2 linked regions of the Arabidopsis thaliana genome follow. The protein of the gene in region 1 interacts with the protein of each later gene in a pairwise test. Each region holds a gene or a part of one and is shown in the gene's direction. Other genes may lie near its edges.

Region 1 (4,158 bases):
CCGTACGACATCAGTTTCCTATAATATTTGTGTGACACTATAATAAAAATGAAAAATCATGTTCGTCGTATACCTGAATTAAGCAACGTATAATGAATAAACTTTCCATAAATACAAAAATACTCGATTAGTGGAGTGTGCATCGCCAACAAAAAAGATTCTACGCAACGTGTCGAATCAGTACTTGTTCCTGAGTTCCTCCGTCACTAACCAGTGCGGACCATGTCAGTATCCAAGCACCCACACGCTCGTCGTCTCTTGAAAACATCTCACACAAATACACAACGGCTCGGACTAATAACTTGCCATCTAAGAAAAGCTAATTGACCTAAGGCTTTGTGGCACCTGCATGTAAAAAGCAAACACGAATTTGCCACGTTATTACAAAGCATACCACGTCACCGTCTCACTGTTACACTATCTCTTGTTCTCCTTTATTTCGCTATGGACAACAAAAATTATAAGGTGGGGAAGAGATGTCTCAAAATACTTTTTTATCGTCCTCTCAATTTATGTAACTGATAATAATCGAAATAGATAAATTTAATTGTAGGTTGACAAAGCGCTAATTTTAATAAAAACATATATTAGTTTGGAAAATTTTGTCGTAGTAAGTAATTAAACCTATCAATCTTGACTAATAATTTCAAGTATCCCATAAAAATCAAAATTGTCCTTAGGTTTTGAAATTGTACTACTGATAGTACGTAATTAAACAAACAAAAGCTATAGCTTGTGGATTATAGCTAATCCCATTTGGCGATGAGAGTAATATATATATTGTTCAAATAAAGTTGTAATTAAGATTCGATTGAAAAGGTAAATTATAGTTTAAGAAAAACAAAGAGAGGAGACAACAATTAAAAAAATGAAAAGTGGAGAACTGTACTCTCGCCTATACGAGGAGGTCATTATCTCCAAGGCTCTCAAGGATTAAGGACCATGCTTTGATTCTATAAATGTTGTTTTATTCAAACTATTTATATTATTATATCATACGTAATATGTGGTTAGCATTTGACCCACGTCCCCTTAATTAAGTCTAGATTAATCCCATTAATCTATCCAATTAATAATTAGGAAAATTTTATATAAGATTGCTATTGGATTTCTCGGTGGTGGTTTAAACTATAAAATAGTAATGCCTTTGATGCGTGTGATTTTTTATTGGAACTTATTGGTTTTAATTCTTAACCTAGCAATTATATTTGTAGTAGTTTATGTTAATCATTGTTTAATAATACTCCTATAATAACTCTTGCAAGTAGCAACACTTGTGTGGCTATTTATTCCAGAGTCCATGGATATGTATGTATAAGAAAATAGGAGTGCTTTTGCAGATTGAAGAGTTTGTCTATAAAATCATGTTTACTTGGCATTTAGTGTTATTGTTTGCAATTTTTTATTTTAAATTAGTCGGATATTTTAAGTTAAAATCTGAATACACAGCATGTTCCTTCTAACGTTTTTTAACATAATTGTAAACTAAAGAAAAATTATAATATAATAAATTAAATTATACCCTCTCTATTCATTGTAGAAGATTTGTTTGTTTCACCAAATGTGTTTTTTTTTTATAAGTTGCTCTCACTCTTGAGAGTTTTGGAGTATTTTGAAGAGGACGAGGTTCTTTTGTGAAAAAGTGAAAGAAACAAATCATGTCAAGAATTAGAAAGAAATCATGACAAATAATTTTGTTTGTGCAGAAATTACAAATGAATCATAGATATCCTTCTAATTCGGGATCGGAAACCAGTTGAAAAATCGATGGACTAAGCTTTCTATATTGGGACTAGCTTACCCTTAGAATTAGTCAAGCAGCTTAAATCATCTATGACTTAAAATTATAATTAAGAAAAAACAATGCCTAAATATGCATATATTTCAAATGTATCACATAACTTGTGACATAAGAAAATATAAACAAAACAAAAAGGGCAAAAAAGACCTGAAAGCTTAGAGGCACACCTGCATAGGTCCCACAGTTCACTCGTGACACCGTAAAAGGCAAAACACGAACCCGCCACGTTATCACAAAAAGCAAGCCACGTCAATATAGTCTCACTGTCAACTACACTTAACTTACTATTTTCACATCTCATTTTCCTATCTTTATATAAACCCTCCAGGCTCCTCTTTAATTTCTTTACCACCACCAACAACAAACATATAAACCATAAGGAAAACAGAGAAAGAGAGAGATGGAGGACGACAATAGTAACAACAACAACAACAACAACGTGATCGCACCTTTCATCGTGAAAACATATCAGATGGTCAATGATCCTTCCACCGATTGGCTCATCACTTGGGGACCTGCTCACAACAGTTTCATAGTCGTTGATCCACTCGACTTCTCGCAACGAATCTTACCTGCTTATTTCAAACACAACAATTTCAGCAGTTTTGTTCGTCAACTCAACACCTATGTAAGTTAATTCATAACCGAAACTCATACATGAAACTGGAAACAGGGGATTACGAACTAATGATCCTTTCTTTATTTACTTTAGGGGTTTAGGAAAGTGGATCCGGACCGGTGGGAGTTTGCGAACGAGCATTTTCTAAGGGGACAGAAGCATTTGTTGAATAACATAGCGCGTAGGAAACACGCGCGGGGGATGTACGGTCAAGATTTGGAGGACGGTGAGATTGTGAGGGAGATCGAACGGTTAAAAGAAGAGCAGAGGGAGCTAGAGGCAGAGATTCAGAGGATGAACCGGAGGATCGAAGCGACGGAGAAGAGACCGGAGCAGATGATGGCGTTTCTTTACAAAGTCGTTGAAGATCCTGATCTTCTTCCAAGAATGATGCTCGAGAAAGAACGGACAAAGCAACAACAACAAGTTTCCGACAAGAAGAAGCGTCGTGTCACGATGTCGACGGTGAAGTCAGAGGAAGAAGAAGTGGAAGAAGATGAAGGGAGGGTCTTTAGGGTTATGTCATCATCAACACCGTCGCCGTCATCAACGGAGAATCTTTACCGGAATCATTCACCGGATGGGTGGATTGTTCCTATGACGCAAGGACAGTTTGGTAGTTACGAGACGGGTTTGGTGGCGAAGTCGATGCTCTCGAATTCAACGTCGTCGACGTCATCATCTTTGACGTCGACGTTTTCTTTGCCGGAGAGTGTTAACGGAGGAGGAGGAGGAGGATGTGGGAGTATTCAGGGAGAAAGAAGGTATAAAGAAACGGCGACGTTTGGAGGAGTGGTAGAGTCAAATCCACCAACAACACCGCCTTATCCATTTTCTCTGTTTCGAGGTGGCTTTTAGCGTTTAGCTTCACATGATATATGATCTTTAGACTTTATTATTGTTATATTATTATTATTATTTATTTTTTGTGTGTTTGTTCTTAATTATTTTATGTATAACCAAAAGAAAGAAAGAAAATAAGGACAGATCCATAGTTGAGTCAGTAGTCATCGTTTGTAGAAAGTTTTGACAGTATATAATTTCTGATTATATTTGTTAAAAGTTCATATGTTGACTTTGTTTTCCTTTTAAAAGTACTTTCAGGTGACTTGTGTAATATATTCACACTTGTAATAACAACAATTTTGATCTTCTTCACTACTTCAGTGTTTTGATTTTTGAATAAAGTATTATTGTAGCCTTATATCTTTGTAATAACAACAAAATATAGGCTTTACTTTTTCCACTTTAAGCTAGTAATTAAGTCTATATACCATTTCAAATTTATCGTTAATGGCCATCTTTAAACTAAACCATATCGAGTATTTGACTCTTTCTCTTGAAACACTTGTTCTCAAACACATTAACGAATCAGTTGACATGGTATATAGACTTACTAGCTTATATAACCCACATGCTTAAAGCTGATCATAAAGTAGAAGAAACATTGCCTATATATAACCCACGTGGTTAAGGCGACACAAGTCGGTCGACTGATAACAAGTCAACGAGACATCCATTCAAGATTCAAACGTATCATCAACACGACGCTCCACTTTCACTTTCATCTAAAATTGATAACATGACATTGTTAAATTTTGAGACGTGACAGTTAGCCACGGGACTTTGGTCGGCCAACAACGTTTCGAACACTCATTGGGCTAGAGAGAGAGAGAGTATAAAACAACGATAAATCTAAATTGGACCACCTGATGTCTCTCACACGAGGACGCGTGGT
Region 2 (8,037 bases), on another chromosome or scaffold:
ACAGCCCAAACGAATATGGGCCTGAAGCAAACCAAATAAGGATGTGGCCCATTTTTACATCATATGACTGTTACCGAATCAGAAAGTCAATGACAATAATGGAAAATATGCAAATTTGACAATTTTCACCCAAGATAATGGTTGTTGAAGAAAATTACACAGGATGAAACATTTAGGCCACGAAGTTTTGAATATTAGGGTTTTGGGCCTCTCGGCTTGTTGGACTTTTTAGATCATGCTAGACCAAAACCGACTACACTATTTTGAGTAAGTAATTCAAAAATCCCAATTCGTTAGAAAACGAGCTTGAGTAGTTGTCCCAAAGTGATTGATCATTGATGTCTACATAATAATATGCATCCTCCATATAAGATTATGGCCGGTATTGGGCTGAGATGGTAATCTAAACATTATTTTGATGCCTTGATGGACAAATTAATATTGAGATTCTATAAAAGCTTAACCGTGAGTTATATACTTCTACCGAACCCAAAAAAAGCATCTAAAGAGCCGTGAAAAATAAATTCTCAATTCGGAGGGGGTCATTATGACACAAACTAAAGGAATAAAGCCATGACAAATGTGGATTTGCAAGAGAGCTGCATTGACTAAAACAGCTATACGAATCAAAGGAGGCATATAACAATTTCTAATAAAGGAAAGGAATCTGAAATGTGGCATTAGGATTTAGGTGATGACAGGGAGTGGATGTTGACCGATCAACAAAATTATAGGATAATACCAAACTAATCAATTTAAATAACACTCGATTGAGATGTTTACAATAATTATTGATAATTTTAATGCTATTTTCTATATTTATTTACGATTAATGCAAGAAGGCCGTTTAATTTTATCTTATTGGTCTACATAATTGTCATTATTCTAAGGCTTTTTTGGTTGAACTGGTAGAGGCAAAATAGTTAATTATTCAATACTTAAGTATGTTAGGTTAACCGACTAGAGAAAGTTGCTCTAGTTCTATTATATCCAAATTTGAAACTTAAAGCCTAAAAGCTGTTAATTTTTGAGAAGAAGAAAAAACTTTCAGAAACTGTTTCACATATTATCACTCTCGGCTTTCAAAAGGTTATAGACTGAAGATGAAACTAAAAAAAAATCTGTAATTATGTATAGTGTGTTACATATAAGTAGACGTATTATATTCATACTATTCTTATCCCTCTCTCTGTCTCAAAGGTCATTTAACAAAAAGAGTTGTAGTTTAGAAATAGAAACTCACTCGATTCTGCTATTTTAATATACATACACAAATCAACAAACATTCCTTATCCCACATTAATGCATTGTCTTTGATTATGAATTTATGATTATGTGTATTAACATTATTTCATCACTATCTCTAGTACTATTCCAATAACAAACTCATTAGATCATCCAAATAATATATATAATTTAGCTTAAACTATAGCTGGGGAGTTGTATTCGATCATTTAGTTATAGTATATATTTGTTTACTAGACTAAAGATATATATATCATTTTTTTTTTGGCAAAAATATAAAGTATATGCTGTATATATCATGCCCATTCAAAGATTCTTGATATAATTCTAGAATTTTCCTGTTAGTTTTCTTTTGGTTTTAGATTAACACACAGACTACTTAGAAAAAATAACTTCATGCATGATCCATGCTGCTAAGATGATAGAGTGAAACCCAATTCTTTTATGCAAATTTCACCACTTTACTTTCACATATACAGATACGTATTTTGATATAGGCATGTACGTGAATACGATGAATAATACTACAGAAAAGATGATAGATTATTGAAAAAATGTGTACGTGAATAAGCCCAAAAAGAGATTTGATGAAAAAGAGCCAATAAGCACAAACAGGCGGTTACAAAGAGAGAGAGAGAGATTGTGGAGTAGGAGTCAGTGATTCTAGTGGGTTCCTCCTCTTTTTCTGCTCTCTTTCTTCTATTTTTATTTTATGGACTAAATTACAAACTCTCATTTAATTTTCTTCTCGCTCAATTTTTTTCTACCTAGAGAAGTCGATAGTTTTCTTAATAATCTACCTCCATTTTCTTGTGATCGGTCCAATTAATCTTATATCCAATCATCTTATTTATCTTCTACATATTGGATAAGGCTCTTTTATTCTTTACCAAAGATAAAGCTCCATTCTTTTTCTTAACAAGGATAAAGCTCTTTTAATTAAGCACTCTTAGACTTTTGATTTTCTGTTTAACTTCTACATTTCAGGTTTGTGTATGAATAGAGATCGTCCACTCCATCTGATCAATTGCCAAGTACTAGCTTCACCCTTGACAGCTATAAAGTTAGTCAACTAAATTTTCAATTTTCTGTACAACTTTTTTGAACCCAATATTATTATTTGGAAAACAAAAAAAAATGCAACACATAAATATAGCCTGGAGACAAAGTCTAGGAAGGACAAGATCTTCGTCTGATTTACCATGAAAAATTATCAATATTTCTTTATTGTTTTCTTCAATAAAATTTTGAAATTTAGCAAGTGGAATTTGTGTTTACTATGGAAATAGATAGAGAAAGGTGGTGAAAAGGAGAGAGTGATGATGAATCACAAAGGTTTCTTCACATACAAGTATAGAGAGAATAGTAATAAAGAGAGAAAGAGTAATGATACTATACATTAGTCAATTACTAATACTTTATTATCATTTCTCTATCCAACTACAAATATATACACGCCCACATAATTTTGTATATGTATCTCGGAAAGAGAAAAGATTGGACCCTCTTTTGTTTTTCTGTTCAGCCATAAAAAAGCCTTTGACGAGAAAGCTTCCATTCTACTTTCTCTCTCTCCTCTTTGTTCTCAAACACCAAAAGCAAAACATCACAAAAGGTAAACACATAGATATCTTACTTTCATGTTCATATCATCAACTAGCTTTTTCTTTTCAAATTCCAATCATTTGATCAACTAATCAAGAATTAATTATAAGACTTTGCAATCTCTCTCCCTCTCCCTCTCCCTAGCTAGTTCTCTCTTGTGTTTCTTAACTCGAGCTTCTCTCAATAGTGATTATCATCTTTTTCATCATTTCAAGATTTAATGTGTTTTGCAGAAAAGAGACTAATCAAGAAGAGATATCATCAATTGAAGCTGTTTTCTTGAGTAGAGATGGCGAACCATAGAATGAGCGAAGCTACAAACCATAACCACAATCATCATCTTCCTTATTCACTTATTCATGGTCTCAACAACAATCATCCATCTTCTGGTTTCATGTAATTAACAAATCTTCCTTCGTCTTTTCTTCTTTACATATACATAAAGCTCAACTTTATTCATATTACATATCTTAATATTGAGCTCTAATTGAATTTTATATGGGTTTTCTTTGTTTATTCTCAATTTGTCATTTTCTTAGTAGTATTATGATATGTTATACGGTTTCATTTATGAGATATGAAATGGTCAACGGAAATCTATAGGTAAAACAGAAACTAAAAAATGTGTTATGGATCATCCGAAATAGGTTTTATATGTGCTTTAGCTTTTGTGTAAACTTTCATTATATGCGACCGTCTTTATTAATCTTCTAACTCAAAATGCGACCCTCTAATCAAGTATTTATATTTTAATTTAATTGTTGTTCCTTTTGGTCTCCAATTTTTCTTGGTTTCTGATTGTATAGTTGTAGTAACACATGATGAATATTCTCTTTGTACTAATTAAACAATACTATTAATAAATGAAACAGTAACCAAGATGGATCGTCCAGTTTCGATTTTGGAGAGCTAGAAGAAGCAATTGTTCTGCAAGGTGTCAAGTATAGGAACGAGGAAGCCAAGCCACGTAAGCCCCCCTCTCTCTCTCAAATCTTCATGACGTGAGCTTTCCTTAACAAACTCCAATAAAGTTTTTAAAATTCTGAGCAAAAAACTGAAACTGGAAAAAACAAAATAAAAAGCTGAGAGTAGTCTGAACAAGTCTTTAGATAGGTTTAGGTGATGATACGGAGGCAAAAGAGAGCCTTGGATGGCGTGACTTGTTTTTCTATTTCTCTTCTCTTTATTTAGAAAATAAGAAAAGAAGAAAATATCTTTTACCAACTCCCTAACTTCCTCTATATCAAAATATTCATAATTATACTATTAGTAAAATGTGTCATGTTATATATAGATTCCACGTGATAAATGATGTAGTTAGTTCTAAGTAGAATATATTGTAGTACTACTTAAATTACATCAAAAACACATATACATGCATGCACACATTTAATAAGTAGCTAGCATACTACATGATTACATATGAACATTACATATCTGATAAATGTAATGATGGGTAAAATTGCAGCTTTATTAGGAGGAGGAGGAGGAGCTACGACTCTGGAGATGTTCCCTTCGTGGCCAATCAGAACTCACCAAACTCTTCCTACTGTACCCTTTCTTCTTCTTTGACCCTTTCCTCTTGTTTTTTTCTCCTTTTTCGGCATTCCTATTTAAACTTAAAACTTATATTTTCATTTTACCCTCACTTTTATATACATGTTTCAGCTTTCTTGTTCCTCTTACTATCTCTTATTTTTGCTTCTTTCAACTCAAAAGCTGATAGCGATTTTAGAGTAGTTAATTACTCCATTCCTTTCTCTTGACTTTATTTTATATTACATAAACTTATAGTACCCCGTTTGTCAAATTATATACGCTAAGGTCAATTCCTCCTTAGTTACATTGATTATCCCTTTTCTGACTTTTTATTAATTATCTTATACGTTAATGATGATGAGTATGATTATGTTGAATATGTATTGCAGGAGAGTTCCAAGTCAGGAGGAGAGAGCAGCGATTCAGGATCGGCTAATTTCTCCGGCAAAGCTGAAAGTCAACAACCGGAGTCTCCTATGAGTAGCAAACATCATCTCATGCTTCAACCTCATCATAATAACATGGCAAACTCAAGTTCAACATCTGGACTTCCTTCCACTTCTCGAACTTTAGCTCCTCCTAAACCTTCGGAAGATAAGGTACTCATCATCATCATCATCATCATCATCATCATCATCACTTTTTAAAATTTAATTTTAGAAAGAGATATATGCATGGTACGTACTTGGAGTCATCATGAAACATGCATGCTTAATTTGGTGCATGTACATGGTATGTATATCATTAGCCTATCTCTCTCTCTCCTTGTCATTTGATAGATATGCATGCACATGCTTTTTCATATATGTCTATGTCCTAACAAATCTTTCCAATAAAACAAAAACATACACAGATCCCAAAAAGGAAACGGATCAGAGAAAATTCAGAATTTTGACCTCTCGAATCGTTGATAAAATAATGAAAACAGACAAATTTAAAATACAAATTATTAAATGAAATCCCCAAAAAGCGGAATAAAGCAGAAGAATCTTCCTAGGTGTTATTATTGTTTTTATAATTTACTTTTTACTACATGATTACATATCCTCATTTCTATGTTTACTTTAACAACACATATATTCCCTAAATGAGTTCATATTGCTTAGATTTAATATTACATTAAAAAAAAGTATTTAATAATGCTGTTTTTTTAATTGTGTGTAAATGGTATTTAAATATTTATCACATGAGTCGACTTCACTCACACAATTTAATTTATGTTTACTTTCTTTCCACTGAATGAATTTCTATTTTCATCTCTGTTCTCTGACATTGCAGAGGAAGGCTACAACTTCAGGCAAACAGCTTGATGCTAAGGTACTTTAACTTTCATCATCATCATTTCCTATACATTTTATTTGACTCCCCCGAGGAGACATATCCATTCCTATATATGTACTTACTTTTTAGTAACCTTTTTTACCTGAATTAATTCGTTAACTTCTTGTTTAAATGTTCTTAAATCTGGATTATGCAGACGTTGAGACGTTTGGCCCAAAATAGAGAAGCTGCTCGCAAAAGCCGTCTTAGGAAAAAGGTATGACCATATAATTGCCTGACTTTTCACCTCAAATTATTATCATTTGTTTTTGTTTTTTTGACCTATTTATATATTCTTTGCTACTTTTTCCAAATGATAATTTGTTGCATAGAATTACAATAATGCTATTGCTACTAGTAAAACATACGCAGTGGTGTCTTTTATTCTTCTTGGAAACCGCTGTTACATGAGCATTTATTTCTTTATCTACCATTTACCAGTCTTCTATAATTCATTTATGAACGTATAAGTTCCGCATTTCTTGTTATTCTATATGTAATGATACTAGTATGAAAATAACAAATGCATATACATATGGTTTGAGCAGGCGTATGTGCAACAGCTAGAATCAAGTAGGATAAAGCTTTCCCAATTGGAGCAAGAACTTCAGCGAGCTCGTTCTCAGGTTGAAATTGAATCATTTATATTCCTATAATCCTATATATTCTGCTAAATCTTTTTTTAAATTTGTCAAAACCTGTCATTTGCTAAGTTTCTCAATTGTTCATTGGTTATTAATAATGTCTGTTTGTTGAAATTAATATATTGTTTATGTCGATGGTAGGGGCTGTTCATGGGTGGTTGTGGACCACCAGGACCTAACATCACTTCCGGTACTTGAAACCTAAAACACCAATTGCAATGTATTATTGTATTAAAATAAGTACAATAATGGTTAAACTATTATTAACAAAATGTTGAAAATCGAATGTACGTAGGAGCTGCAATATTTGACATGGAATATGGGAGATGGCTAGAGGATGATAACCGGCATATGTCGGAGATTCGAACCGGTCTTCAGGCTCATTTATCTGACAATGATTTAAGGTTGATCGTTGACGGTTACATTGCTCATTTTGATGAGATATTCCGATTAAAAGCCGTGGCAGCGAAAGCCGATGTTTTTCACCTCATCATTGGGACATGGATGTCCCCAGCCGAACGTTGTTTTATTTGGATGGCTGGTTTCCGTCCATCCGACCTAATCAAGGTTCGACTTGTTCTTCCTTACTTTACCCCATGATTACAAACGTAAGTTTTAGGTTTTGCGTTTGAAAAACAAAATGATATTCACGTTAGTAAATTACATCAACAAATCTGAAACATTGCTGCAAAATGTAAACAGAAATGAGTATTCTTCGGTTTAATTATTTGCGTGTGATAAAAAAGTTGTGGAATCATGATTAACTAAAGAAAGGGATGTGATCTTAGATATTGGTGTCGCAAATGGATCTATTGACGGAGCAACAACTGATGGGAATATATAGCCTACAACACTCGTCGCAACAAGCAGAGGAGGCTCTCTCGCAAGGCCTCGAACAACTTCAGCAATCTCTCATCGATACTCTCGCCGCATCTCCAGTCATTGACGGAATGCAACAAATGGCTGTCGCTCTCGGAAAGATCTCTAATCTCGAAGGCTTTATCCGCCAGGTTCCATTTTCTCACCTATCTTTTTTTTTTTTTTACTTCATTTGCTCGAACAATAATTACAAACGAATGCAAACGAGAGAAAAAAACACCGTGTGAAATATACACAAAATTTGACCTACTATATAACTGTAGATAGTTTTTGACTAAACAAAATTTGCAACGTATTTTGGTTTATAGTTAGAGAGGAATTCGAATATATTTTTTAGAAATATATTGGGTAAATTTTAACGTTTTATATATATACTAGATGTACAAATGTTTAAAAATGCGGAAATACGTGCATATATTTTGCGTACATATATGAACAAACGTATGTGCTGGCTAAATTATCTAATTGAAAAAAAAACAAATAATCCAGAAACAGACAATACGTGAAAGCAACATTTGATGTTCTATAATAATTATATGTTGTTTTGGTCTTTGATTTAATTATTCCAAGAGCCAAATTTCTTTCACCAACTTGTTTTTACCTTTTATATATAATATAGCTGAAAAAAAGACAAAGAGAATATGTTAAAAGTATTCTCCATCTCTTTCAATGTTTTGTTTTGAACTCAACAAAAATATTTTAAAAAAATTTCTTGTTTTCAAACATTATGATCAAATTGATTGTTATTGATATGTATTGACTTTTGTAATACCCATTAGCCCACCAAGGTAGTAAGTAGGTATGC

The links. The genes of interacting proteins can lie anywhere in the genome.
Region 2: the proteins of HSFC1 (region 1) and TGA9 interact in a two-hybrid assay, tested with the Arabidopsis thaliana proteins (one large-scale study listed by BioGRID).

Annotation. Positions count from the first base shown.
Region 1 is NC_003074.8:8,939,254-8,943,411, forward strand, and holds HSFC1 (heat shock transcription factor C1), read left to right. Parts: upstream 1-1,812; 5' UTR 1,813-2,201; coding exon 2,202-2,429; intron 2,430-2,458; exon of another isoform or gene 2,459-2,513; coding exon 2,514-3,278; 3' UTR 3,279-3,621; downstream 3,622-4,158. UniProt on the Arabidopsis thaliana protein: Transcriptional regulator that specifically binds DNA sequence 5'-AGAAnnTTCT-3' known as heat shock promoter elements (HSE).
Region 2 is NC_003070.9:2,622,554-2,630,590, reverse strand, and holds the start of TGA9 (bZIP transcription factor family protein), read left to right. Parts: upstream 1-1,996; 5' UTR 1,997-2,308; intron 2,309-2,662; exon of another isoform or gene 2,663-2,770; 5' UTR 2,771-2,860; intron 2,861-2,869; exon of another isoform or gene 2,870-3,083; 5' UTR 3,084-3,139; coding exon 3,140-3,246; intron 3,247-3,722; coding exon 3,723-3,817; intron 3,818-4,318; coding exon 4,319-4,401; exon of another isoform or gene 4,402-4,778; coding exon 4,779-4,988; intron 4,989-5,667; coding exon 5,668-5,706; intron 5,707-5,866; coding exon 5,867-5,926; intron 5,927-6,257; coding exon 6,258-6,335; intron 6,336-6,494; coding exon 6,495-6,543; intron 6,544-6,648; coding exon 6,649-6,920; intron 6,921-7,141; coding exon 7,142-7,363; intron 7,364-8,037. UniProt on the Arabidopsis thaliana protein: Together with TGA10, basic leucine-zipper transcription factor required for anther development, probably via the activation of SPL expression in anthers and via the regulation of genes with functions in early and middle tapetal development.